Linked DNA regions of Kluyveromyces lactis. The protein of the gene in region 3 purifies or fractionates together with the protein of the main gene of each other region. This does not show direct contact. Links are inferred from orthologs where the notes say so. Each region holds a gene or a part of one and is shown on either strand. Other genes may lie near its edges.

Evidence for each region. Proteins that work in one complex are often made in the same cells at the same time.
Region 1: the proteins of ASC1 (region 3) and RIO1 purify together in Saccharomyces cerevisiae (affinity purification with mass spectrometry; 3 studies listed by BioGRID). This does not show direct contact. The link is inferred for Kluyveromyces lactis from reciprocal best matches to the Saccharomyces cerevisiae genes ASC1 and RIO1.
Region 2: the proteins of ASC1 (region 3) and BRE5 purify together in Saccharomyces cerevisiae (affinity purification with mass spectrometry; 3 studies listed by BioGRID). This does not show direct contact. The link is inferred for Kluyveromyces lactis from reciprocal best matches to the Saccharomyces cerevisiae genes ASC1 and BRE5.
Region 4: the proteins of ASC1 (region 3) and BFR1 purify together in Saccharomyces cerevisiae (affinity purification with mass spectrometry; 3 studies listed by BioGRID, with this or other methods). This does not show direct contact. The link is inferred for Kluyveromyces lactis from reciprocal best matches to the Saccharomyces cerevisiae genes ASC1 and BFR1.
Region 5: the proteins of ASC1 (region 3) and KLLA0_A04730g purify together in Saccharomyces cerevisiae (affinity purification with mass spectrometry; 3 studies listed by BioGRID). This does not show direct contact. The link is inferred for Kluyveromyces lactis from reciprocal best matches to the Saccharomyces cerevisiae genes ASC1 and TIF4631.

What each region holds. Positions count from the first base shown.
Region 1 is NC_006041.1:1,884,055-1,889,167, reverse strand, and holds RIO1 (protein kinase RIO1), read right to left. Parts: upstream 2,717-5,113; coding exon 1,136-2,716; downstream 1-1,135. Other genes in the region: RTC5 (Rtc5p), read left to right, coding at 1-1,083; KEI1 (Kei1p), read left to right, coding at 3,041-3,076, 3,192-3,830; ARG8 (acetylornithine transaminase), read left to right, coding at 4,445-5,113. UniProt on the Saccharomyces cerevisiae protein: Required for the final endonucleolytic cleavage at site D converting 20S pre-rRNA into the mature 18S rRNA. Required for the final steps of cytoplasmic maturation of the 40S ribosomal subunit.
Region 2 is NC_006039.1:1,666,179-1,671,166, reverse strand, and holds BRE5 (Bre5p), read left to right. Parts: upstream 1-2,371; coding exon 2,372-3,853; downstream 3,854-4,988. Other genes in the region: CCR4-NOT core DEDD family RNase subunit POP2, read left to right, coding at 177-1,520; OCA4 (Oca4p), read left to right, coding at 4,266-4,988. UniProt on the Saccharomyces cerevisiae protein: Has a role in de-ubiquitination. In conjunction with UBP3, cleaves ubiquitin, leading to the subsequent mono-ubiquitination of sec23.
Region 3 is NC_006041.1:1,084,081-1,089,664, reverse strand, and holds ASC1 (40S ribosomal protein RACK1), read right to left. Parts: upstream 2,888-5,584; coding exon 2,336-2,887; intron 2,195-2,335; exon of another isoform or gene 2,103-2,194; intron 1,936-2,102; coding exon 1,507-1,935; downstream 1-1,506. Other genes in the region: HEK2 (Hek2p), read right to left, coding at 1-855; APL2 (Apl2p), read left to right, coding at 3,537-5,584. UniProt on the Saccharomyces cerevisiae protein: Component of the ribosome, a large ribonucleoprotein complex responsible for the synthesis of proteins in the cell.
Region 4 is NC_006042.1:82,191-86,993, reverse strand, and holds BFR1 (Bfr1p), read left to right. Parts: upstream 1-2,264; coding exon 2,265-3,668; downstream 3,669-4,803. Other genes in the region: MRM1 (Mrm1p), read left to right, coding at 1-299; isopentenyl-diphosphate delta-isomerase IDI1, read right to left, coding at 525-1,361; Ca(2+)-dependent cysteine protease MCA1, read right to left, coding at 3,959-4,803. UniProt on the Saccharomyces cerevisiae protein: Implicated in secretion, nuclear segregation and in maintenance of cell size.
Region 5 is NC_006037.1:421,494-427,388, reverse strand, and holds KLLA0_A04730g (uncharacterized protein), read left to right. Parts: upstream 1-2,460; coding exon 2,461-5,526; downstream 5,527-5,895. Other genes in the region: N-acetylglucosaminyldiphosphodolichol N-acetylglucosaminyltransferase catalytic subunit ALG13, read right to left, coding at 1-126; proteasome regulatory particle base subunit RPT6, read left to right, coding at 565-1,779. UniProt on the Saccharomyces cerevisiae protein: Component of the eIF4F complex, which interacts with the mRNA cap structure and serves as an initial point of assembly for the translation apparatus.

The sequences.
Region 1 (5,113 bases), about 800 kb from region 3:
GACTTCAAACATCAAGCTCTTAATATTGTACGCACAATGAACCCCGAGATTATATCAATGTCAGACTGTTTGGATTCATCAATCACATATACCCAATTTTCCATGGCCGTTAATGATGTTGCCCCTAATCTTTTAAATCCCTTGAAAATGCTAATGGAACATGTTCTTTATATGGATAGAGATCTCGTAGACGCGGACGTTCTTCAACCAATCTCAAATCCTACTAAAATTGTAAATGAATCTGAGCTATCGCAGTTAGCAACTTTTTTACCGAAGGAGATTGTTTTCTCCAGGTTCCAGAAATTATATGTTGGAAGGGAATCGGGCTTTTCTATGAGATCTTTCCAATCTAAGGTCTTCAAGTGGATGGCACCTACGATATTATTCGTAGAGGGTATGAGAATTCGTGACGAGGACGATGAAGATGGCGATGCTTATGCCGTGAAAAATCCAAGGTATAGAAACTTTCTGCAAGAATATGGTAAGTTAAAAAGTGAAGATCAACATTTGGATACGTTAAGTAAGAAAAAACGAAAATTGTTATTTGCTGTTTGTATTCGCGACCCATGGAAAGTATCAAATAAAGATTTGTTTGGTGATTCGTCTACAAAAATTATCCAACTTCATCCAAGACAAGAGATCTTCGATGCGGACCCATTCAAGACAGGAAACGTATATTTCAACACTGTTGGGGGAGGTATAGGTATTGGTAGCTCTCAACCTATCATCAAAGCTAACGGTAAAAAATACTTCCCAGGAAATGTTTCACTTACTATTGATTCATCTCTCGAGTTCGGTATATTTAGACATTTGGGAGCAGGTGGGAGTTTTAAGCCTGGCCGTCTAATAAGTGGACGTGGAGAAGAACGGAATTCGTTCGAATACCGATTCATAATCCAAGATGTAGAAGTGTGGGGATGCGGAGGAGAAAAAGAGCTCGAAGAGCAAGTAAAGCAATGGCAATGGGAAGAGGCCGAAGCCAAAAGAAGGCAAAAGATCAACTTACAAAGCATGGGAGAAGATCGTGCATTATTGGAAATGGCAGGTCTTGTAGGGCAACATCAAAGCGGTGGATCTATTTAAAATCGCTAAGTAAATATTAAATATTTGAAATTGCATAGAATTTTTAAATTGATCATTTCTTGCTTTTCGTCTTGTTAATGAGCTTTTTCTTAACGTGTTTTTTTACTTTGGTCTTCCTCTTTTCACGTTTGGCCTCTTTTGTTTCTTGCTTACGTTGTTTTTTAGCATCTTTATCTTCGTACTTTTTTCCTTTCAGTGGAGTGTCTTTATCGGAGACCCATCCATCACCATCAGAACTATCGTTAGTTTCATCACTATCATCATCTTCATCTGATCCAGCTATGTCATCTTCATTGATATCCGTTACGAGGTTAGGGAGATCATCACCATCTACGTCATCTTCCTCGTCATCAGAAGAAGAGAGTTCATATTGCTCCGATGCTGTGAAATTTTCGGAATATTTCCTGTTTTCATTAGCAATTAATGATTTCAGTAGGTCAAATTTACCATCAGTGAATCTATCAAAATCTCTTTCCTCTAAACCACCCAAATTTCTTATCAAATGTAAAGATCTGAACACTTCATCTTCAGCTTCGTCTTCATCAGTCAACTTTAGAGGTAAATTGTCGGCAACATATGTTTCTAGATCATCGCTTGATCTGTAATCACCCTTGAATTTGTCTAAGACCTCACTGATGATGAACTGGAAGATCACCCGTTCAGGGAAAATGTCAATTCCCAATTTTTGGAAATATGAGTTAACATTCTTAATATCCATTCTTAGGAAATCTAGAGACATAGGATGTTCTGGTTGTACGGATTGCGAAACATCAATAATATAAAGCTTATCCTCATGTACAATACTATTATACTCACTCAAGTCTGCATGAACTAAGCGACATACCTGATATAACAGTCTCATGTACGCTATCATTAAATTGTAGTAATGTTTAATTTCTTCTCTATCTTTGTAAGGATGATCTTTAAGCCTCGGAGATGCGAAACCATCTCCTCTATTTAAAAATTCCATGACTAAAACGTTTGATCTAACTTCTATTGGTTTTGGACAAGGTATGACACCGCTTTGGTATATTCTCTTCAAGTTTCTAAATTCCTTTTCAGCCCAAATTTTGATCATCTTACGAGGATTATGTTGAGATCTCGAATTTCTGAATCTAAATTCACCATCAACGTATCTTTCACGATCCTTAAAAACCAAGATAGATGTCTTGTAAATCTTCACCGCGTATTCCTTCTTATTTTTTGGTTCATCAGTGGCAGTTGAAGTGGATGTGGCATCCTCAGATTCGGCAGTTAGAGCTTTTTGTTTTGTTGATTCAATATTTTGTGGGGCTCCTATTGTATCATCATGTCCCTCTACCAGCAGATGTCTCTCCTCATGATTACCAGCAAACGCATGGTACACGTTTGCTTCTTTACCTGTACTCAAACAACCATTAAATGCTGATAATATTCCCCTGTTCATCATGGATTTCAAAAACCTCATCGTACGTGGGTCTAAAACATTCTCTACAGTGGCCCTATTCGCCTTATCTTTGCTGGTTTTACCCCTAGTTAATGATAACTCATCTGTTTTGATGCTATTGGCATACCTCTCTAGGATCTGAGTGTTGACATGCTCATCACGGTTGGCTAAATTCAGTTTTTCCAGCTTATCGTCAATATTCATCATTCGTAGTCCAACTATAGATAACTTCTGCTTTCTGATTTACTAATTTGACAATACACAGGAGCTGAACGGCGTATATTGTTCTGTAAATAACCACTATTCCAACCTCATCGCTCATCTTGTACACCATTAAAGTAAAGTAGCGTACTTTTTTTTTTCCTACGTTTTTTTTTCACGATGCTCTAGACAGGATCGCGAATTGCTTTTCAATAGAGGAAATAGTTGTAAACATTCTAAAACGCTCAGTAGATGAATTGAAAGGTCTACCTGTGTAAGTGGAAGAAACCAACTTGCTTTAACGTCAGGGTTTGTCCTTATTATACTCCTATGCAGCAGCAATCAAATATGGTTCATTTGCCACAAGTATGTTTCTTTTGGGTATTTAACCGCAGTTGAAAGACGTTTTTACATGATCGTTTGATGCATGGTTTTTTTTTGATACCAGTAATATGTACTAACAGATGACATTGCCCTTTAGACATTCCTGTCTTATCCCTTGTACATAGGTGTTGAGGTTGCACTTGGTGTGCTAACCTTCAACAAATTCAGCGGGATGTATGGTGTTCTTGCACTTTTCACTGGACACCCGTTAGACTTTGTGCAATGGACTTTTTACATCTGGTCAATTTTCTGTCTAGTGGTATTCATTTCAGGAATAAGACAAGTTTATAAGCCCAATATCCTCTTAATGTCCACGGTTACTTTTGTGTTCAGTGTGGACACAATTGTTAGTTGCATTTACTGCTTATGGTTCACTGCTGTGTGGTTCAGCCAGGAGGGCTCCACTGACGTTACGGACTTGAAGAGCGCGGGAACCGCACTTGGACCAGCTCATGAGGGAACCACATCCACGATCTCAACTAAAGTAGATACTTCTAAGAGTGCTTCTAGCGGCTATGAATTTTTCCTCATCATATTGCTAACTTTAGTTCCACTAGCAGTCAGATTCTATTTCAATTTCATCATAATTGCATTCCAACAACAACTATTGCGCAGTGGGAAGTTCACATTCGATCAGAACGATATAGAAGTCAATCTACACAACAGAAACATTTTGTTTAAATGGAGATACAAATTCGAAAAATGGTGTTTCTACCTATGCAAGAGATACTTATAGCCCGGTACCCTTTAAACACATCATTATATAGATACGGACTAATATTATCATATAGCTAACATTGCATCATTGTCTTTTCAAAAAGTGGTCCAAGTGGGGTTCGAACACGGAATTAATTCCTAATCAGAGAGCAATTTTTTGATAAGATGCACCATCCTATTGAGAGATCAGTAAGAGTGACTCATAAAAAAAAGCGAACACAAGACCATCAATTGGCACTGGATATGACACACAATGCGTGATCACTCTTGACAGGGTACCTCTTTATACAATGAAGCTTGCATCGCTCATTGTTCCTGGTTTTCACCTCTGATTCATATCTTCAGGACTCTATTGTATTGTTCTTTCTCACTCATTATGTGCATCTATGCCGTTAGCTGTTTTTTTCTTTATATATACTGCAATGTGAAGTATTTCCATTTAGGAAGTTTCTTCAAAAATCTCATCGCTAACCATATCACTTAACGGTAAGTTGATCTGAATAGATAATAAAGGGCACTGCAGTGTTAGTTACTAGACTTTGGAATCTGCTTAGTATCCTGCATCCTGTACGCTACATTAGATAATCAAATTGAACCGGTCGAAAAGGCTTCCTTCCATACTTTAACCCAATAATGAGAGTTATCCGTCAATTACACACTTCTAAAAGATTGTTGCAATCTTTAGTCGATAAACAAAAATACCAGGCAACCACTTATGCCAGACCTAATCATTTGGTTCTGACTAGAGGTAAGAACGCCATTCTTTATGATGATGTTAACAATAAAGAATATATTGATTTCACTGCTGGTATCGCAGTAACTGCTTTGGGACATGCCAATCCGGAAGTGGCTGAGATCATGTACAAACAAAGTAAGAAACTGATCCATTCTTCTAACTTGTACTATAATGAGGAATGTCTGAAGTTGAGTGAAAATCTAGTGGAAGCTACTAAATCGTTTGGTGGTCAATACGATGCATCCAGAGTTTTTCTATGTAATTCCGGTACCGAAGCCAACGAAGCTGCATTGAAATTCGCCAAGAGATACGGTATCCTAAAAAGCCCATCGAAGCAAGGTATAATTGCGTTCCAAAACTCTTTTCATGGTCGTACCATGGGTGCTTTGTCTGTTACCAGTAATCCAAAATATCGTGAACCATTTGGTTCTTTGATTCCCGGAGTGGAATTTTTAAATATTAACGATGAGCTGACCAAATTGGATCAACAAGTTTCTAGCTTGAAAGAAAAGACTGCTGGGTTGATTGTGGAACCAATTCAAGGTGAAGGTGGTGTGTTCCCAATC
Region 2 (4,988 bases), on a different chromosome or scaffold from region 3:
CACCGTACACAATGACATTTCCCTCGAAAATTCTGTTTCTGCCAAAGAGGAACGAAACAGGAAAGCCTTTAGCATTAGATAAGGAAGAGACAGAGACATATATGGTTGGAATACGATTCAATTCTGATTTAAGAGTTGTCATTTAGGACTACTCCAGTAAGTACGATAGAATTTTAATGCAATCTCTTAATAGTCAGCTCGGAGGATTGCCAAATTCGGAGCAATTTTTCGGGAAGGGCGCTGTTCAGCAGCAAGGGCCAGTTGGGATGAACGGGATGCTTTTCTCCCCTTCTATGAATAGTACTCGTATGATGCCTCAACAGTCGCAACAACCACATGTGCTGCATGGGCTTGAGAACAATGGGGGTCTTCAAAATTCGTACTTGTTGAAACAGAAGATGGATGTGGTAAACAGTGCTTTTGGGCAGCAAAACAACTTACAGCAGCAGCAGCAACCGGGAAAAATGCCGTTGCCGAATAATGGGCAAGTTCCTATGATGATGCAGAACAGCATTTCCGGTGGTAACTCTAATAACAATACGATTCCACAGCAGATGCAATTTCCAATGCCGGTACAACAACAGGCAATGGGAAACGTGAACGGGCTTGATACAACACCATTACCTAATGCATCTCATACGCCAATCTCGTCTCCAGCGCATCTTTTGATCAGAGAAGTGTGGCAAAACAACGTAAACTTCGAGTTTGCCATAATCCGTAAAATGATCGAGCAATACAAAGTTATTTCTATAAGCACCGAGTTTGTCGGTACGATAGCGAGACCCATTGGGAATTTCCGCTCAAAGACAGATTACCATTACCAGACGATGAGATCCAACGTGGATCTACTAACCCCAATCCAGATTGGACTTTCGTTAAGCGATTTACAGGGGAATAAACCAGACAACTTCCCATCCACATGGCAATTCAACTTCCATTTCGACGTAACAAAGGAGACCGTGAATTCGGAATCGTTAGAACTATTAAAGAAATCCGGTGTCATCTTGGAGAGACATCAACAGAACGGTGTTGATTTCGACGAGTTTGCTCAGTTGATGATGGATTCCGGGTTATTGTTGAACGATGAGGTCACGTGGATCAGTTACCATGCAGCATACGATTACGGGTTCTTAATCAACAGGCTCATGAACACAAACATGCCCAACAACAAAGAGGACTTCGAATGGTGGGTTCAGAAATACATACCAACGTCGTACGATTTGAACCTAATTAACAAGTTAGTTCATGAGGTAACGCAACAACACCCACATCCACCACCATTACATCTATTACAAAGTCAACAGCAACAGCAACAAAACCAACAACAGCAATATACACTAGAACTACTGGCTGACGAGTTGGGGATTCCGATCTTCCCATTGTTCAGCAGCGCAGCGGGACAAAGTCTCTTGGCACTATTGGCATACACCCAACTCGGTAAATTGTCTTTGTACAAACTACGCAATGGAACAGATTTCAGTTACTACAAGAACCTGATCTACGGAATCACACAGGAGTAATATATGTGATTTTTATGTGCCAGCCTTTCATATAGAGTATCATCAATAATGCATTTATGTATGTGAATATATATATATACATACACAATCATTCTTAAAATAGGGTATAAAAGGTGGCTGACTAGCCACCGTCACTGAACTGAACTGATGCTGACCAGTGCGAAACCCACAGGTTGCAAGAGCGCAACCTGTGTACTTCATTCACCTGGCATCTCGTGAGGCATGATTTCATAAGATGATTGACGAGTTTTCCATTAAAAAATTTTGAAAATTGACTCTTTACATATAATCACTAGATGCAAACATGCACATACTTTGCTTGTGAGGGGCGTTTCTTGTTGTTAGGGTGTCTATTTGGTTCGCTTATCGGTTTTCATGCATTCATTAGAAACCAGACTTTAATCTTTAGCGATAAGTTTGAAGCGTGAGGCACATATACGGTGTTCGTAGTGCTGAAATTTCCCGTGAGTCTGGAAAAAAGCACCCATAGGAAATTAATACTTTTTTGTTATTGTATTCTAGTATACCCTATACTTTCCTGCTTGAATATCCACCGTTAATACACTTGGATTAAAACGTTGTTAGAGCGTTATTAGAGCGTGCTTTTCCCTTCTTTTTTTTTTTTTTGTTTGACAGTTTTATTTTTAATTCATTCAAAGGTCTTTCTGATTGACAACGATTGACTGTATTGCATTCATTTCATACACTTTAGCATTCCAATTTGATTTTTTGATACCCGCGATCGGTTTGAAATTGAGAGTTATCAAAGAATAGTTGAATTCTTTTACAAGAACCAGTGTGTTTTTTCCTGTTTAGATTAATTTGATACAATCACATTTGGTTTGGAAAATATGACCACTTACGATGTGAAAGAGATCGGATATGCGTTCCTAAGGACGTACTATGAACGTATGCATAATGATCCATCGAAATTGTCGTGTTTATATTCTACCACGGCGGAATTGACCCATGTGAATTATAATGAACCTATCAAGCATGACAAAGATTATTTAAACACCGTCAAGTTGATTGGTAAGGATAACATCAACAATTTCTTTACCAGAAACAGCAAGCGTGTACAGGATTTGAAGGTCAAGATTGATTCGTGTGATGTGCAATCTACTGGGTACGAGAGTTCTTCGATTCTGATATTGATATTAGGGGAGCTATGCTGGACGGATTCACCATCTTACAGATTTTGTCAGTGCTTTATCCTGGAACCAGCAGAGTATAACAGTAAAGTCTACGATTTGAAAAACGATATCATTCGTTTCATTCCTGACCTTGCTCCATTAGTGAACCCAGACCAGCCAGTATCACCACCATCTGCTGTTGTTGTTGAAGCTGAGAATGAGAAGCCAAATGTCAACGGGGACGCAGCTCCTGTTTCTGTTCCTGTATCTGTTTCTCCAGTAGTGGTAAAGGCAGCAGCGAAACCGGTTGAGATTGTCAAGCCAATTCCAACTGAGAAGCAACAGCCCTCTACTGCTCCAACGGAAACAAAAGTGGAACAACCCCAAGCCGTTTCAGTAAATAAAACTAAACCTAAGGAAAATGAGGCGATTGCGCCAGCTACTGCTCCTGCTGCTATTGCAGAAAAAGAAAAAGAAGACAAGGAAGACGAAGCACAAGCACAACCAAAAGAGCAAGCGACTTCAGCATCAGCCACCCCAACCTCAACGACAACCCGTTCTGAATCGGTGCCCCCACAAGAGGTTCCTGAAACAGAAGTCACCCCAAAGGCTGAACCAGTGAAAATGACTTGGGCAGGCAAACTCAACAAGACATCTAAACTAACTACAAACTACATCAAGGTAGATCTTCCACAAAAGAAGTCTAAAAGTCCACCTCCAAACGGATTCACCAAGTCAAACAAGAAAAGCAAGCAGCAATCGAAACCAATAGGCGACGTTATCATCCAAAACAGCAGCGGTTTCTACCCAGTATACGTGGGTAACACAAATGGGTTGACCGCATCCGAACTTGAAAGAGCTCTAATAAAAGAATACGGTGATGTCGTAAAAACCTCATTCCAAGATTCGTTCGCTGTGGTTGATTTCAGAGAAAAACCTGCAAGAGACGCTGCCATCGATGCTCAACATTTAAAAGTCGGTGAAAGAGTTATTAATTTAAACCCAAAGGGCGATAAAGCTTCTAAGTACAAAGCCAAGAACAACAGCAACAATAGTAATAGTAATTCTGGTAACACTAATCACAACACAAACGGCAACAGTTCACATAATTCCCCATCACCAGAACTCTCGTTAAACCAAGGTAATTCCACGCTTAAAAAGAGCTCAGTGAAATCCCGTAATGACAAATCAAAGAACTAATCTCATGTACTTTAATCGTAAACCCAAATCATCTCAAACCTAAATGAAAGGCGTGATAAAACCATATTATAAAAAAAAAAACCATAAAAAAAATTAACTAAAACGATGAAACTATGAGTCGGGGAAAACTTGTTAAATATATCCGTATGTAACCTATCCACATGTACATTTTATATATTTCCCTCTCACTATAAGCATATCACCGAAACATTATTGTTGTCTTCCCTTTTTGTTCCTTCTTTCTCTAAGTCACAACCCTTTGAAGTTGGTTCGAGCTTGATGAAATTTAAAGGAACAAAGATCTTCATGTGCACATCACAATGATAGAAAAGGTGATTGGCAGAAAGATCAGTGCTGAAGCCAAGGGGACAGGTGAGGAGATACAACTCTAGGGTCATAGAAACCATCAGCTATGTTAGTTCCTCCAGCGAATTTCGGGATTCCCGAGGAAGGTATCTATCGATGCAGTAAACTTGAGACCATTAACCTATCATTTTTGGAGACTTTGAATTTAAATACGATCATATTCATCGGTGGTCAAATCCCGAGTAATTTCTTCAAAGAGTTCTTCGCCACTAACGGCATAGATTACTTTGTCATTAAGACCTCTGGTGATTCGAGTTCTTTGGTAGCCCCAGATCACAAAAAGCGTCAATCTTCTGCGAATCATGGTGAGACGAGACGGAAGAGTCTTTGTGATAACTGTCACTACAGTTACACACTCACGGACCAAGACGATTTGATGCTAATCAAGAGTCAGAGCATCCGGCGAATATTCCGGATACTGTTAGATGTCTCGTACCATAACGTATTGTTAGTGGATAAGACGTCCGCTGTGATTGGAATATTGAGAAAGATTCAGAAATGGGAACTATCCTCGATAATCAGCGAGTACAGGCTATTCACAGGGAAGAACAAGAACTACTTTGCAGAGACGTTTTTGGAATTGATAGATATACGGCTAATACAAGAAGAAGAGCAACCAAACCAGCAGGAATCCCACGATACAGATTCTTCCACCGTGACTTCCCGGATGGATAATCTTTCAGTGGAAGAAAAGCAACAGCAAGAACAGCAACAAATACAAACTGTGCAAGAATCTGATCTATCCATGCCTCCGGAGTTACCTCAGCAC
Region 3 (5,584 bases):
GAATTTTCTCAAGTTGGCAATACGGTTACCACCAACTCCCAAAAGTGCACCTACAAATTCTTTTGGAATAGCCAACGTTTGAGACACTTGGATCTCTTTTGTATGTTTAGAATGAGGATAGTAACGGGGCAAAGTTCTTGGAGGTACATGGACGTCGTCTTGAATGAACAGTTCTGCGATTTCGTTGATACAGTTGGCAACCGAGGTAGGGAACCCTTGAATCTCCAATACTCTATCCTTAGAATCGGGCAAGAAATGTTTCGAGGCAACGAGTTTAACAGTATGCGTTTCAATCAATTTCTTAATCTTGGCACCTTGTTGGCCAATGACTGACGAAATCTGTGGGTTGGTACAGATTAATCTCAAATTACCAATTTGTTTCCATTTCTCTGGATCCTCAATCTCTTCCTTCGATGCTGGAGGTAACATGAATCTTAGATGCTTGAAAACGTGTTCCTCAGGCTCGTAATCCGTAGTTAGCACACGTAATACTTGACCCAACGAATTGGCCACTTGTCTTGGGGGACCACTAACATTCAATAACCTATCAGAACATGATTTTTCACGAGGTGATATACCGATTTTGATATCGTTTTCCCTCCTTATCGTCTCAATGGTATTCCCCTGAGGGCCAATGATCTTTGCTGCTTCTTTCAAAGAAACAAGGACGTGGAATGTAATATTGTTACCGTTGTTCACTTGGCTATTAGTATCATTATTAATTTCATTTACTTCATTATAACTGTTGTGGAATTGACTAGCATCGTTAATACTATTACTGTTGTTATTGATAGAGTCAACAGCAGCAGGGAACCTGCTGCTACTGTTGTTGGAATTATCAGCAGAAGATGACATAATTTTTGGATATGATCTGTCCTGTAAATATTAGAGTGATATTCTTGTACCTTTTAAAACGAACAAAGAAACAAATGGTTTAATTTACAATTTACAATTTACAGTAGCAAATATAATCTGAATACACAAAAACAATATGAGCAGTAGAAGAACCAAGTCCAGTCCAACCTAAGCTAATGTAAGTTTAAGTTTGTTAATATGAAAAATTTTAATTGAAACGGAATATTTTGCAAAGAGGTTTAAAGTGAACGGTAAAAGTTCAAAAAGTAAATAGAATTGCCATTATAGATAGAGTACGAGTTTCTGCGTTTTCGCCAGGAAGAGAGAGAAAGAAAGGGTGATATGAAGAAAGGGAAGCTAAGGTACCGGGTTGCCCTTGGAATAGCCCTGTGCCACGGTTTTGCCTAACCGAAATGCATATTATGCATGTATAGGTAGAAACCATTGAAAACATAATAATAAGCTAAGATAACAATATCGGAACTCTTATAAGACAGATTAACCGAGGGGAGATCTAATATTATAATGTAAGTTTTTGTATAACTAATATATACATAAGGGATTTATGTTATGATTTATTGGTAATGACGACGACCAAGAATAAATTGTAGGGAATAAAAGCAAAATTAAGAGATTTTAAATTGCTACAACTTAGTTGGCGGTCATGACTTGCCAAACTCTGATGACGTTGTCGGTGTAACCGGCGAACAAAGTTTGACCATCAGCAGACCAAGCCAAAGAAACGGCGTGTGGGTCTTGAGCCTTGGTGTAACCAGCAAATTCTGGCTTCAATTCGTCGATCAAGACTTCGTTTTCCAAGTCGTAGATCTTGATACCAGAAGCAGTAGCAGCGGTCAACCAGAATCTGGATGGAGAGAAGGCCAAAGCAAAGACTTCGTCCTTAGCGTCGAAGTTCATGAAGGCGCTCTTGTGCTTCAAGTTCCAGACGTAGATTTGACCGTCCTTACCAGCAGAAGCAGCTAGAGATCCATCTGGGGATGGTTGAACAACGTTGATGTAGTTGTTGTGACCGATGAAATCAGCTTCGATTCTGTAAGAGTCTTCGTTCAAAGACCAGGACTGTAGTTAATAAGGGGAATGGAAGATAATTCCCAAAATATTGTTAGTAAAAATGATATTTGGTTCAAAGCCATGAGATATATCTGGGAATACAGGCCCAAATTGCTCGCTCCATGATATTCAAATGCACAAAACTCAATTCAAAATTTTAATTCACTAATTAAAAAGACATCAGAGATCTTGGTGATAATTAGTATGTCTCATTCGAAACCATGTAAGGTTACGTCTGAAGTAGCAAATATAAGAAACATCATTTGTCATAGTATAGTGAATTGAGCCATGTATTTTGAGAATATATTACGGGGAAACAACTGAGGACCTGAATTCCAAGGTAAATCAATCTAATCGGGAGATAGGCAATGCAATGCAATGCAATAAAAGAAAAAAGTCTGGCACATACTCTAACGATCTTGTCCATACCAGCAGAAACGAAAGTGATTCTACCGTCATCGACTTCACCGTCTTCCAAGTTCTTTGGAGCAACTCTGACCTTGGTAACCCAGTCGGTGTGACCCAACAAGACGTAGGCACAGTCACCGACAGTGTTCCAAACTCTGATGGTCTTATCTCTGGAAGCAGAGATAATCTTAGAAGAGTTAGCATCAATGGCAACGGACAAAACATCACCGGTGTGACCAACAAATCTAGCTTCAGAGTTACCAGTAGCCAAGTTCCACAATCTCAAGGTCTTATCCCAAGAAGCAGAAACGGCGTAGTTACCGTCAGCAGAGACAACAACATCTTGAACGATGTGAGAGTGACCCTTGTAAGATCTAACTGGGACACCGAATTGTTGTTCGTTTTCGGTCAATCTCCAGGAGATCAAAGTCTTATCTCTGGAACCAGAAACCAACAAGTTTGGTTGAGCAGCAGAGGTAGACAAAGAGGTGACCCAGCCGTTGTGACCTTCTAGGGTACCTCTCAAAACAAGCATAATATTGCTGGAAGACATTTCTTTTCAGTTAATTCCTTGAGATGTGTTGTTCTGATGAATCAAAAGAAGAGAATAGATAACAATTTCAATCAACAAGAACTGATAGCTTAATACTAATGCAGTAAACTCTTGCAAGTTATATCAAGTTCTTAATACTTTCTCAATATTCAAGTGATGAGCTTTGGCTAGAAAAGAATTTTTTTTCAATGTGCGTGGTGCGTGCTGAGTGGTACGCTGAATGGTGTAAGGGTGTCGCGCGTATCTTTTGGTCTGGCAACTCTGAGGACTGTGTTTTTATAAAAAGTCGGGTATATCAGTACACCACACTGCGGTGCGTAAGAATTTACGCAGAAGTGTGAATCTCCCTTAGCAATTTCCCTAATCAGGTAGTAACCATTCTTATTAGGAAGTGAGATCTCTCAATACCGTAACCCGGACATCATATGATGTCCGGGTTACGGAATCTTCCGATACACGTGAGCACACACGTGACCTCGCCAGCAAGCTTTCACTTTCCAGTATTCATAGAAAACATCAATCAAATTAACTGGAATCTGTATATAAATAGATGAACCTGTTTATATTCAAGACTCTGTCCCCAAGCGATTAGTCTTCCTTCCTCCAGCCAATTGCTTGCTCTGCTTTCTCATAAATACCAAGGGAAACAATGGGTGTTGATAAGAAGATCAAGAAGTTCTTAAGAGACGCCATACGAGTGGCTCCTAAGATTTCCAATAAAGGTGAATTGTTTGAACTACGAAATGGATTAGTATCTCAGTACCCACAGACCCGAAAGGACGCGATCCGTAAGATTATTCAACAGATGACTTCCGGCAAAGATGTTTCATCTTTGTTTCCCGACGTTTTGAAGAATATAGCCACTCAAGACATTGAACAGAAGAAATTGGTATACCTTTACGTGGCTAATTATGCAGAAACTCATCCGGAGTTATGCATCCTTGTCGTGAACACATTCGTCAGCGATGCAGCTGATCCGAACCCATTGATTAGGTCTATGGCAATCCGTACCATGTCGATGATCAGAGTTGATAAGATCTTGGAATACATTGAGATTCCGCTAAGAAAGACTCTAGTCGATGATAATCCGTACGTGAGAAGAACCGCGGTACTATGCGTTGCAAAATTGTTCCAATTGAACCCGGACCTATGCCGTGAATTGGGCGTATTGAACGATTTGCAAGACGCTTTGTCTGACGATAATCCAATGGTTGTTGCCAACGCGCTTGCCGCACTGCACGAAATTAACGAATTGGACCCTGGTTCAATAGATATCAAGAAATTAGTATCTCAAAACGTTAAGAGGTTTTTGAACGTGTTGAACGAATGTACAGAATGGGCAAGAATCACTATTTTGGAGTCATTGAGCGAACACAAACCAATTGACCCTATGGAGTCTCAAGAAATTATCGATAGAGTTGTTCCACATTTGCAACACGTAAATCCATCAGTGGTCTTGATCAGTGTTAAATGTATACTCATACATCTACCAAATTTGAACACAGTCCATGACTCTATATACAACAAGTTATCAACTGCATTGGTCTCACTAATGTCGACCCCAGTGGAGATCCAATATGTTGCTTTGAGAAATATAAGAATTATTTTGGATGCCTTCCCAAACTTGTTAAGGAAAGAGTTAAGAATATTCTATGTCAAATTTAATGATCCATTGTACGTGAAGATAGAGAAATTAGACATCTTGCTCAGATTAGTGCCCGTGGATAATTTGAAACATTGCCAGATGCTTTTCAACGAATTAAAAGAATATGCAAAGGACTTTGATCATGAATTCGTGACCAAAGCTATCCAATCCATCTCACAATTGGCCATTAAAGTCTCGAACGGAGGTGAAGATACGAATAACAAGTTTTTGAATATGGTCATGGAAGAATTCGTTTCGATTGTCCAGGAGAGAGAAGAGTTTAGGGATATATTGATGAGATGCGTATGCGACATGTTACGTTATGACAGTGACAACAATCTTATCAAGGAAACAAGTAAGAATGAGTTGGGTGCCATAATTTCCTCATGGCAAGATATCGATACCATATTTACATCTGATCTAGGCAGTTGTAACTACATCTGGTTTATCACCAACTATACAAACGAAAATTTGGAAACTAAGCTTGAACCACTGGTAGAAGTTTTCGATGAATTAGGATCCCTAACTCAAATGTCCCTTCTAATGGGTGTAGTGAAATGCCATAATGCAGTCTCAAGTGCTTTCTTACAGAAGATCTTGGAACTTTGTACGACAGACGTCCACGATTTGGACGTTAGAGACATGGCCATGATGTACTGGCGGTGTCTATCGATCGACAACGGTGATCAAATCATCAACCAATTATTTGACAAGCATGAAATTCCTAAATTGCATTCTACCTTGGACCACTTCTCCAAGGAAACATTACAAAGTCTACTTCAAGAGCTCTCCACTCTATCCTCTGTGTATTTCAAACCAATCTCGCAGATGCAACGCCGTCCCAACGAAGTTCACATCATTAAGGATAAGGATATTGATGAATTAAAGGGAATGGCCACGAACGAGATCCTGAAAAACATGAACGATGATGTACTACTTGACATGGGTGATAGCTCTGCCACGAGAAGTACAGGCGTCCTGGACGAACTAAATGATCTTTTCGATATCACTGGTGATATGGGGAAAGTAAACATTTCACAGAAAACCAATAA
Region 4 (4,803 bases), on a different chromosome or scaffold from region 3:
TGCAGTTCTTTGAAAAATCCAAACAGGATGGAGGATGGATGTTTGTTACTTCACATATGAGCATTTCACAGAAAGGAAATCACTTAACAATGAATGAATTAAGTGGCATGCTGAACGAGCTACCAGTAGTTTTGGTTGTTGGTAATGAAGGAAACGGTGTTAGAACAAACCTACTGAACAGAAGTGATTTCACTGTAGAGATTCCTTTTGGGAGAGACCCAACCGAGGGACGAAACACTATTGACTCATTGAACGTTAGTGTTGCTACTGCTCTACTAATTAATGGTTTCTTAAATTGAAAGAAAGAGTTTTGCACTATACATATAGATATATACTGGATTACTGGACATTTTTCTGAAATATTATTCATGTAAATAGAATAAACCAAAATTAATTGCAATCATTAGGTGTAGAGAAGCGGAAAGGGAATATCTGCCAGGTGAACTTTTCGTTTAATAGGGAATATCTCATTCAATAGATGAGTCAATGTACAATGTTTCCGGAATTCAACTTTTGTTTTGTTTTTACATCATTCTGTGAATTTTGGTATCATTTTCGACTTTGTTCAAATCATTTAATTGATTCCACCATTGGAATAGATAATTGTCACAAATTAATTTGAACCATGGAGTGAATTTTAGGTTACCATCTGCGAACATTTGCTTTAATTCTTCTTGAGATACCCAAGCAATATCTCTTACTTCATTAGTGCTTGGCTCGACGGTCAGAGTCTCTCCTTTTCTCAATTGATAGATGAATATATAATCAATTTCGTGTTCTCCCCAAGCACCATCGCTTGGAGCCATGTAATGAATACGGTTCAAAAAGTGGAATTCTCCTTTAGATTCAACCTCTTGTGGTGGGATACCTAGTTCATGTTCCAATTTTCTAACTGCTGCAGTTCTGGCACCCTCTATTTTACTTTCCAAAGAGCCGTTCAGTCCAAGTTCGTCATCGACGCACAAAGGGTGTGAACAGCATGTGTTGGTCCAAAGATCTGCAAAAGTAATCTTTTCAGTGGCACGTTGTTGTAATAGTAATTTACCATCGCTGTCAAAAAGGAACACAGAAAATGCGCGATGTAATAGACCTTGGTTGATGTTCTCCATCAAATGACATAGTTTTTTTGTACCAGCACCAATCGCAGTATCGTTCCAATCCAAAACTATACAATTTTCATTCATCAATCTGATTTGTTCCTCATCATATCCATCTAGCAAATTATCCGTTTCGCCAGAGGATTCAGTAGAATGTGTATTTGGTCTGTTGTTCAATGGGATGACCTCAGGAAACTTTTCTAAGATGTCATCTTGTTCTAATGAATGCACAAGGTCCGCATAGGTAGAAGTTTGAGTTGACATCTCTTCTGTTGGTCCGCTAAGTGAAGGTTCAGTTTGAAATTCCTGCACGTCCTACAGGATGCATACGCTTAGCTTTATTCCGCAAGATGGTTTTCGAAGATTCTTTAAAGCAGAATGAGCTCAACTTTTCTTCTTTTAAATTGTTCGTTAAATCTAATTTTTTTTTTGTTTGCATTTCGGTATCGGCCAAATAATGGAAACTTTTATACGAAAGACACGCGATTCGAGATGCTACCAATAGTGACACAGTAGGCTGCTGCTGTTGTCCATTTCTTATTCCATTTGTTGAAGCTTTGCAATGAACTAACACACTGTGAGAGAAATGTCCCAGTTTTATTTAATATAGAAAAATCTCAAACGACAGTAACCGGAAATTGTCGCTGAGGATCACCTACGTATTACAATGGAAGAGTAGGAAACTTAATTAGAAGGATGAGAAGCTGTGTAGTAAACGAAAATTTGTAAATGACCAGAATATATTGTCTACCCAGATTGAAGCTCAAGCTTTGTCATGTTCCGGAGGGAATAATACACACAAAAGGTCCGATCCGTCTGAGAGCACTGTTGATCTGTAAGAAGATTCGTGGTGTCTTCCAGAAAAAAAAAGCTTTTGGGAAAGATTCGATATTTTTTTAATTGAACGTTGAAAAATTATTCAAACGTGTTAAAAATTTCAGATTCTTGAACAGAATCAAATTCTTGATCTACAAAGGTTGTGTTTGAGATACGTTAATTGAGACAGTATTTTTTCAGTTCAATTAGTGTTATTAAGTTACCATTTCTATACTTAAAGTTTTCTTTTTAACTGTAACCTTTTCCACCAGTCTGTTTTGTGTTACTTGTTTCAGTTGCTAGTTCCAGGTGACCAAGTGAATAACCATAGAATAATAATATATTACAAGGATGTCCACTGCTAGACCAAAACAACATATTCAGAAACCTGATGTTACTGTCAGAGACAAGAAGCTAGAGCCATTGAATGTTCAGTTGAAGAAGATTGATCAAGAATTATCATTGATCAAGCAACAAATTGATAATACCGATTTCTCCAAAGATGCTAAGAATTCAAAGGAAAAGCTGCAAGGTGAATTGAAGGAAGTGATCAAAACTCAATCGGACTTGAAGGCTAAGAGACAACAAATCCATGACCAGATTAAGTTCTTGGATGCTCAAATCAAACGTAAATCTGGTGAGATCAACGATTTGGTCGGTAAGAACAAGAAGTTCCAAAATGTTGGTCAAATCAAGCAAAGATTGGCTGAAATTGACGATGAAATCGCTTCTGGTGACTTATCCTTGGTGGAGGAAAGGTTAAGAGTCAAGGAAATGCAAAGTTTGCACAAATTGTCCAAAGATTTCCAAGTTGTGGAACCAATTAGAAAATCTATCGAAGAAGAGAAAGAACAAATTGATGCTTTGAAGAAGGAATTGAACGCTTCTAACCCGAAGGAGGTTGCCGCAAAGTTCGAAACTATCCAAGGTCAGATCAATAACTTAAACTCTAAGAACCAAGTTGTTTACGACAAGAGAAAGACTTTAATCACTAAGCGTTCTGCCTTGTACAACAAGCGTGACGAAATCTACACTCAAATTAGGAAGATCAGAGGTGATTTCGACAACGAATTCAAGTCATTCAAGAAGAAGTTGGATGAGCAGCGTTTGAAACGTGAAGAAGACGAAAAACTATCCAAGATCTTAGAAGATAAGGAAGAAAAAGTGGGCAAGCTACAAGAAAGACTAAACCATGCCAAACAGCCTGCTTTCACCTTCGAATTGGAATCCATTGAGAATATGTTGACTGTTTTGGATCCAACTTACGTTAAGCCAGTGAAGAACGTCTTGGGTATCGATTTCGGTAGCACATCTCAACAAACTGCCACCCCAACTAAGACTGTTGATTCTGAAGGGTTAGTGCCAATCGTTAAGGAAAGAGAAGGATTCTTCTCCGCTTCAACCGCTTCCAAATCAAAGAAACACAAGAAGAAGGCGCAATCTACAAAGTTCTCTCTAGAGCCATCCATGATCGCCTTGTTGGCCGAATTAGATATCAGAGTACCATTATCCAAGGGCGATGTTCCAGCCACTGTTGAACAGTTGAAGGCTAAGCATGAGGACTTGACTGCCAAGCAACCAGAAGCTACTGAAAAGAACATTGCAGAAGCTGAAGAACAGCTCAAGAAACTTAACTTAGAGTACGAAGCTAAAGAACAGAAAGTTAAGGAAGAAATTGAAGCCAAAAAATTGAAGGAACAAAAGGAAAAGGAGGACGCTGCTGCCGCTGATGCCGCTGTCCCAACTGAAGCTTAACTGATGTAGATACGAGACTTATTTTTTTCTGTTGTCCACTGCTTGCCTTTTTCATTCTTGTATTTCAAGTACATATTAAAACTTATCGGCTGGAAAAGATTAAAATGTTTCATCTGGAGTGTCCTCATAACAAAATGACCCCCATGACTTCTAAATTATATTAGCATCTTAAACAGAAACTGAATTGATTATATGTAGGTTTATGTTTGGATATTCTTATATAATCTTTTAAAGAAAGCACGTTATAATACCATCGTATACTTGATTGCAATAAGATTAAGACTCCAATATCATAGTAGGAACTGAAGATTGGTATCGATTTCATGCGAACAAGATAATTGGGGCTTTTGAGTGTATTTGCTACTTAACTCGGCTCTCATATTTTGCAATAAGCTTAAGTAGGACTGTTGAGGTTGTTTTGATAGTACTGTTAAGAAAGCCCAGGACATTGCACCAGTGTTTTGACCATTTTCAGTAGCATCAGCCGACGTTTGATTATCTTTTGAACCACTAAACATGATGACATCAGCTGGCGAGAATTTTATTTGCTTAACTCTTTCTCTGTCGACGTTATTATTGGACTTGGTGATGGTGGTGAATACATTTCCTAAAGAACTGACCAAACTGGTTGTATTACCAGTAGCGTATGCCATAGCAGCCTGTAAACCACTAGAACCAACGTCCTTCCACATGTTAGGTTCTTTTATCACACCTTTTGTCGAGTAAGTGTATGGCAAATCTAATACTGTACCAGAATGGCACGAATCAAATAATGCAGTTAATCTCACACCGGGCTGCAAAGGAGAAACCATGATCGCATGCATATCATCATCAACAATATGACCAGCCATTTGGAAGTCAACAGGGTATATAACGTCATCCATTCCATCCTCTTCATCACCGTCAAGATCTTCCGTTTGTCCACCATGGCCAGAATAATGGAAAAACAATGCATCATTAGGTCTTGCGTCCTTAACTAACCATTGCATAGCCCTCAGCATATTGGCTTTCGTAGGAACTCTCACAGGGTCGGTAGTATCATCATTTAGCATAACTATATCCTCGGCTTTGTAACCATACCTTTGAGTCAAGAAATTGAACATGTTATGGGAGTCATTGATACAACCACGCAATT
Region 5 (5,895 bases), on a different chromosome or scaffold from region 3:
CTGGATCACAATTCTGCCATACCCTAAAACTTTCAACTTCTCTGTGACAGATCTATCAAGTACTGTTTCTACCAGTCTGGGGAAAGAGACAGTAGCTCCGCAAGTTACAAGAACAGTGTTATTCATTGTTTTCTCTATTTGGATCTAAATTATCGATTCGGCGAACCGCACCTCGCCGATGATGTTATTCACGACTACTTGCAACCTGCATAGATCTGGTTAGCTATGCTTGTGATGATTACTGAAATCATAATCATTTTCAACGGACATGCTCATACTTAAGGACTTACAGTTTGAAAGTTAAAATTTAAGGCATTATAAACGTTGAAAAGCTGTAATCTTTAAACACAATCTTAGAGTAAAACGAGTGGCAAACACAAATTGCAAGGGCTTTCCGATCCAATAGTGGTATTTAAGATAGAAGACACGAATTATCATTCATTTGAGAAGGTACTGATACCATAATTCCTTATAATTGCCACTAGAAAGTAAACTATCTCTTGGGATTAAAAAGAATAAGAGAAGCGTTAAAAACTAAAGAAAAACTAACCTATACTGTAAAGGATGAGTGCTGTACAAATTTCGAGTATTCCTTTGACGAGCCATGACTCTGGTATCAAGCCTTTCTTTGACCAAAAAATCCAGGAAAGTGAGCTTAGGATCAGAGAAAAGACATCGAATTTGCGTAGACTAGAGGCTCAAAGAAATGCGTTGAATGATAAGGTCAGATTTATAAAGGATGAATTGAGGCTCTTGCAGGAATCTGGATCATACGTGGGAGAAGTGTTGAAAGTTATCAGTGAGAAAAAAGTTTTGGTGAAAGTTCAGCCTGAAGGAAAATATATTGTTGATGTTGCTAAGGATATCAACGTCAAGGACTTGAAAGTATCACAGCGTGTATGCTTGAAGAGTGACTCGTACCAATTACATAAGGTGTTGGAGAACAAGGTAGATCCGTTAGTGTCTCTAATGATGGTCGAAAAAGTACCTGATTCTACATACGATATGGTGGGTGGGTTAACGAAGCAGATTAAAGAAATCAAGGAAGTCATTGAATTACCAGTGAAACACCCAGAACTATTCGAAAGTCTTGGTATCGCTCAACCTAAAGGTGTTATTCTATACGGTCCGCCAGGTACTGGTAAGACTTTACTAGCGAGAGCCGTAGCACATCACACAGACTGTAAATTTATCAGAGTAAGTGGTGCCGAATTGGTGCAAAAATATATCGGTGAAGGTTCCCGTATGGTCCGTGAGTTATTCGTGATGGCTAGAGAACATGCGCCTTCTATCATTTTCATGGACGAAATCGATTCTATCGGTTCCAGTCGTGTTGAAGGATCTGGCGGTGGTGATTCCGAAGTGCAAAGAACCATGTTGGAATTGTTGAATCAATTGGACGGGTTTGAAACTTCGAAAAACATTAAAATCATCATGGCTACAAACAGATTGGATATATTGGACCCTGCATTGCTAAGACCAGGTAGAATTGATAGAAAAATCGAATTCCCACCACCAACCGTAGCGGCTAGAACAGAGATTCTAAGAATCCACTCAAGAAAGATGAACTTGACCCGTGGTATTAACCTAAGGAAAGTCGCCGAAAAGATGAACGGATGCTCTGGAGCTGACGTTAAAGGTGTTTGTACCGAGGCTGGTATGTACGCACTAAGGGAACGTAGAATTCACGTAACCCAAGAAGATTTTGAACTAGCCGTGGCCAAGGTCATGAACAAGAACGACGAAACTGCTATCTCTGTAGCAAAATTGTTCAAGTAAGGATCCTTCACCCCTTTCATCTCAAACAGCGCATATCATTAGATACATCCCTACATATTATACATAAGCCACGTACAACACACGCCTGTGGTTGTACCCCCGTGTCAATATGTTTCTAATCAGATCCTCTCTTTTTCCCCCTCATCGCATCTCATCTCGTCATAAACTTGACCATCATGTCAATCTTCTCAATATACACGAAAGAAGAAAAAAAAAATTTTTACATTGTAAAGAGGAAAAGCTGTGAATCTTTTGAAATAAAATTTCAACCTTTAAGCCATTGAATTTTACCATTACGATAGCACATTTTGCATAAAACAGGATAGAGGAAAAGAGGCACAGAGAGCTACTGCTGATCTGATAGTCAATAGATTTATCAGCACTTGTATTGTTTGAATTGTTAGAGAGTAACAGTGGACAGTAAAGAAACAAATCTGGGAAAAAAAGAATCTCACAAGAAAGTGATAATTTTTTTTTGTTCTTCGTTTATTTGTTTAAAGAGAAAGAGTTAAGAATTGGACTTTAATTTCATTCTACTCATTCGTGTTTCTATATAACTCGACTCGTTTTCTCTAGGTACTCTGGATTACTCGGTTACAAGAGAGAAATTAAACAGAAAAGAGCTTAGATCCAGCTAATTTCATCTGAAGAAGAGAGAAAGAGCGGTTTTTCAAAGCAGATATGGGCGAACCTACATCCGATCAGCAACCAGCTGTTGAAGCTCCAGTTGTGCAGGAGGAGACAACCAGTTCTCCGCAAAAAAACAGTGGATATGTCAAGAATACTGCTGGAAGCGGTGCTCCTAGAAATGGGAAATATGATGGTAACAGGAAGAACTCTAGGCCTTATAACCAAAGAGGTAACAACAACAATAATAATGGTTCTTCCTCGAATAAGCACTATCAAAAGTATAACCAACCAGCGTACGGTGTTTCTGCGGGATACATTCCGAACTACGGCGTATCGGCAGAGTACAACCCTCTGTACTATAACCAGTACCAACAGCAGCAACAGCTGTACGCTGCTGCTTACCAGACTCCAATGAGCGGACAAGGTTATGTCCCCCCAGTAGTGTCTCCAGCTGCTGTTTCAGCTAAACCAGCGAAGGTTGAGATTACTAACAAGTCTGGTGAACACATAGATATTGCTTCCATTGCTCATCCACATACTCATTCTCATTCTCAATCTCATTCGCGTGCAGTTCCAGTAGTGTCGCCTCCAGCTAACGTTACCGTCGCTGCTGCTGTATCATCCTCTGTGTCTCCATCAGCTTCTCCAGCTGTCAAAGTACAGAGCCCTGCTGCTAATGGTAAGGAACAATCTCCAGCTAAGCCTGAAGAACCAAAGAAGGACACTTTAATTGTGAACGATTTCTTGGAACAAGTTAAAAGACGCAAGGCTGCTTTAGCTGCTAAGAAGGCTGTCGAAGAGAAGGGTCCTGAGGAACCGAAGGAATCTGTCGTTGGAACTGACACTGATGCAAGCGTTGATACTAAGACAGGGCCTACAGCCACTGAATCTGCCAAGTCTGAAGAAGCTCAATCAGAATCACAAGAAAAGACTAAGGAAGAGGCTCCAGCTGAGCCAAAACCATTGACTTTGGCCGAAAAATTGAGACTTAAGAGGATGGAAGCTGCAAAGCAAGCTTCTGCTAAGACCGAGGAACTAAAGACTGAAGAATCTAAGCCTGAAGAAACAAAGACCGAGGAGCTAAAGACTGAAGAATCTAAGCCTGAAGAAACAAAGACCGAGGAGCTAAAGACTGAAGAAACAAAGTCCGAGGAACTAAAGACTGAAGAACCTAAGGCGGAAGAATCAAAGGCGGAAGAACCAAAGCCTGAAGAACCAAAGACCGAGGAACCGACGACTGAACAACCAAAGTCAGATGAACCAAAGTCGGAAGAATCAAAAACTGAAGAGCCAAAAACCGAGGTATTAAAGACTGAAGAACCAAAATCGGAAGAATCAAAGCCTGCAGAACCAAAGACTGAAGAAACAGCAACTGAAGAAACAGCAACTGAAGCAAACGCCGAAGAAGGTGAACCGGCTCCTGCTGGTCCCGTTGAAACTCCTGCTGATGTTGAAACAAAACCTCGAGAAGAGGCTGAAGTTGAAGACGATGGAAAGATTACCATGACCGATTTCCTACAGAAGTTGAAAGAGGTTTCTCCAGTTGATGATATTTATTCCTTCCAATACCCAAGTGACATTACGCCTCCAAATGATAGATATAAAAAGACAAGCATTAAATATGCATACGGACCTGATTTCTTGTATCAGTTCAAAGAAAAGGTCGATGTTAAATACGATCCAGCGTGGATGGCTGAAATGACGAGTAAAATTGTCATCCCTCCTAAGAAGCCTGGTTCAAGCGGAAGAGGCGAAGATAGATTTAGTAAGGGTAAGGTTGGATCTCTAAGAAGTGAAGGCAGATCGGGTTCCAGGTCCAACTCGAAGAAGAAGTCAAAGAGGGATGATAGAAAATCTAATAGATCATACACTTCCAGAAAGGACCGTGAAAGATTCAGAGAGGAAGAAGTCGAAGAGCCAAAGGTTGAGGTTGCCCCATTGGTCCCAAGTGCTAATAGATGGGTTCCTAAATCTAAGATGAAGAAAACAGAAGTCAAGTTAGCTCCAGACGGAACAGAACTTTACGACGCGGAAGAAGCATCAAGAAAGATGAAGTCATTGCTGAATAAATTGACATTAGAAATGTTCGAACCTATTTCTGATGATATCATGAAGATCGCTAACCAATCTAGATGGGAAGAAAAGGGTGAGACTTTGAAGATTGTCATCCAACAAATTTTCAATAAGGCCTGCGATGAACCTCATTGGTCATCAATGTACGCGCAATTATGTGGTAAGGTCGTTAAAGACTTAGATGATAGCATTAAAGACTCAGAAACCCCAGATAAGACTGGTTCTCACTTGGTTTTGCATTACTTAGTCCAAAGATGTCAAACTGAATTCCAAACAGGATGGACTGATCAACTACCTACAAACGAAGACGGTACTCCTCTACAACCTGAAATGATGTCCGATGAATACTATAAGATGGCTGCCGCTAAGAGAAGAGGTTTGGGTTTGGTTCGTTTCATTGGTTTCTTGTACCGTTCGAACTTATTGACTTCCAGAATGGTCTTCTTCTGTTTCAAGAGACTAATGAAGGATATTCAAAACTCTCCTACTGAAGATACTCTAGAGTCTGTATGTGAACTTTTGGAAACAATTGGTGAACAGTTCGAAGGTGCTCGTATTCAAGTTACTGCAGAAGCTGTCATTGAGGGTTCAAGCTTGCTAGACACACTATTCGACCAAATAAAGAACGTGATCGAAAATGGTGACATCTCCAGCAGAATCAAGTTTAAGTTGATCGACATTGTCGAACTAAGAGAAAAGAGGAACTGGAATAGTAAAAATAAGAACGATGGTCCAAAGACCATTGCTCAAATTCACGAAGAAGAAGCCTTGAAGAGGGCTTTGGAGGAAAGAGAAAGAGAAAGAGATCGCCATGGGTCCAGAGGTGGTTCCAGACGTATGAATAGCGAGAGAAACTCTTCTAGAAGAGATTTCTCCTCTCATTCTCACAGTCACAATCAAAATAGAGACGGTTTCACTACTACCAGATCGTCATCAGTGAGATATTCTGAGCCAAAGAAGGAAGAACAAGCTCCAACTCCAACTAAATCTTCTGGTGGCGCTGCCAACATGTTTGATGCATTGATGGATGCCGAAGATGATTAAGTTTGATAGAAATTACCTCGAGTTATTTTACCTTCAACCCTCCCACCTGTGCATATTGTTATGAAAAGAATCAAAGCAAGTATTTACCTATAATATTAATCATGTTTACTGTACAATATAACTGTCATTTAGAGACGTCTACATTACATCTCTCTTAAGGATTCTTCACCTCACTAAATTGGTGATTGAACTGAATATATTGGCACGTGATGTGTAATTACCCTATCGTAGTGTTTTTTTTGCTGCCTTTCTCTACAAGATAAAGTAGATGGTGATTGAAATAGTATTGACATTGAAGTAATATAACAAACTGAACCTTTAAACCAAACTGGAAACAGTGTACAGTTAGGAGCTGATTACTTTTGATTT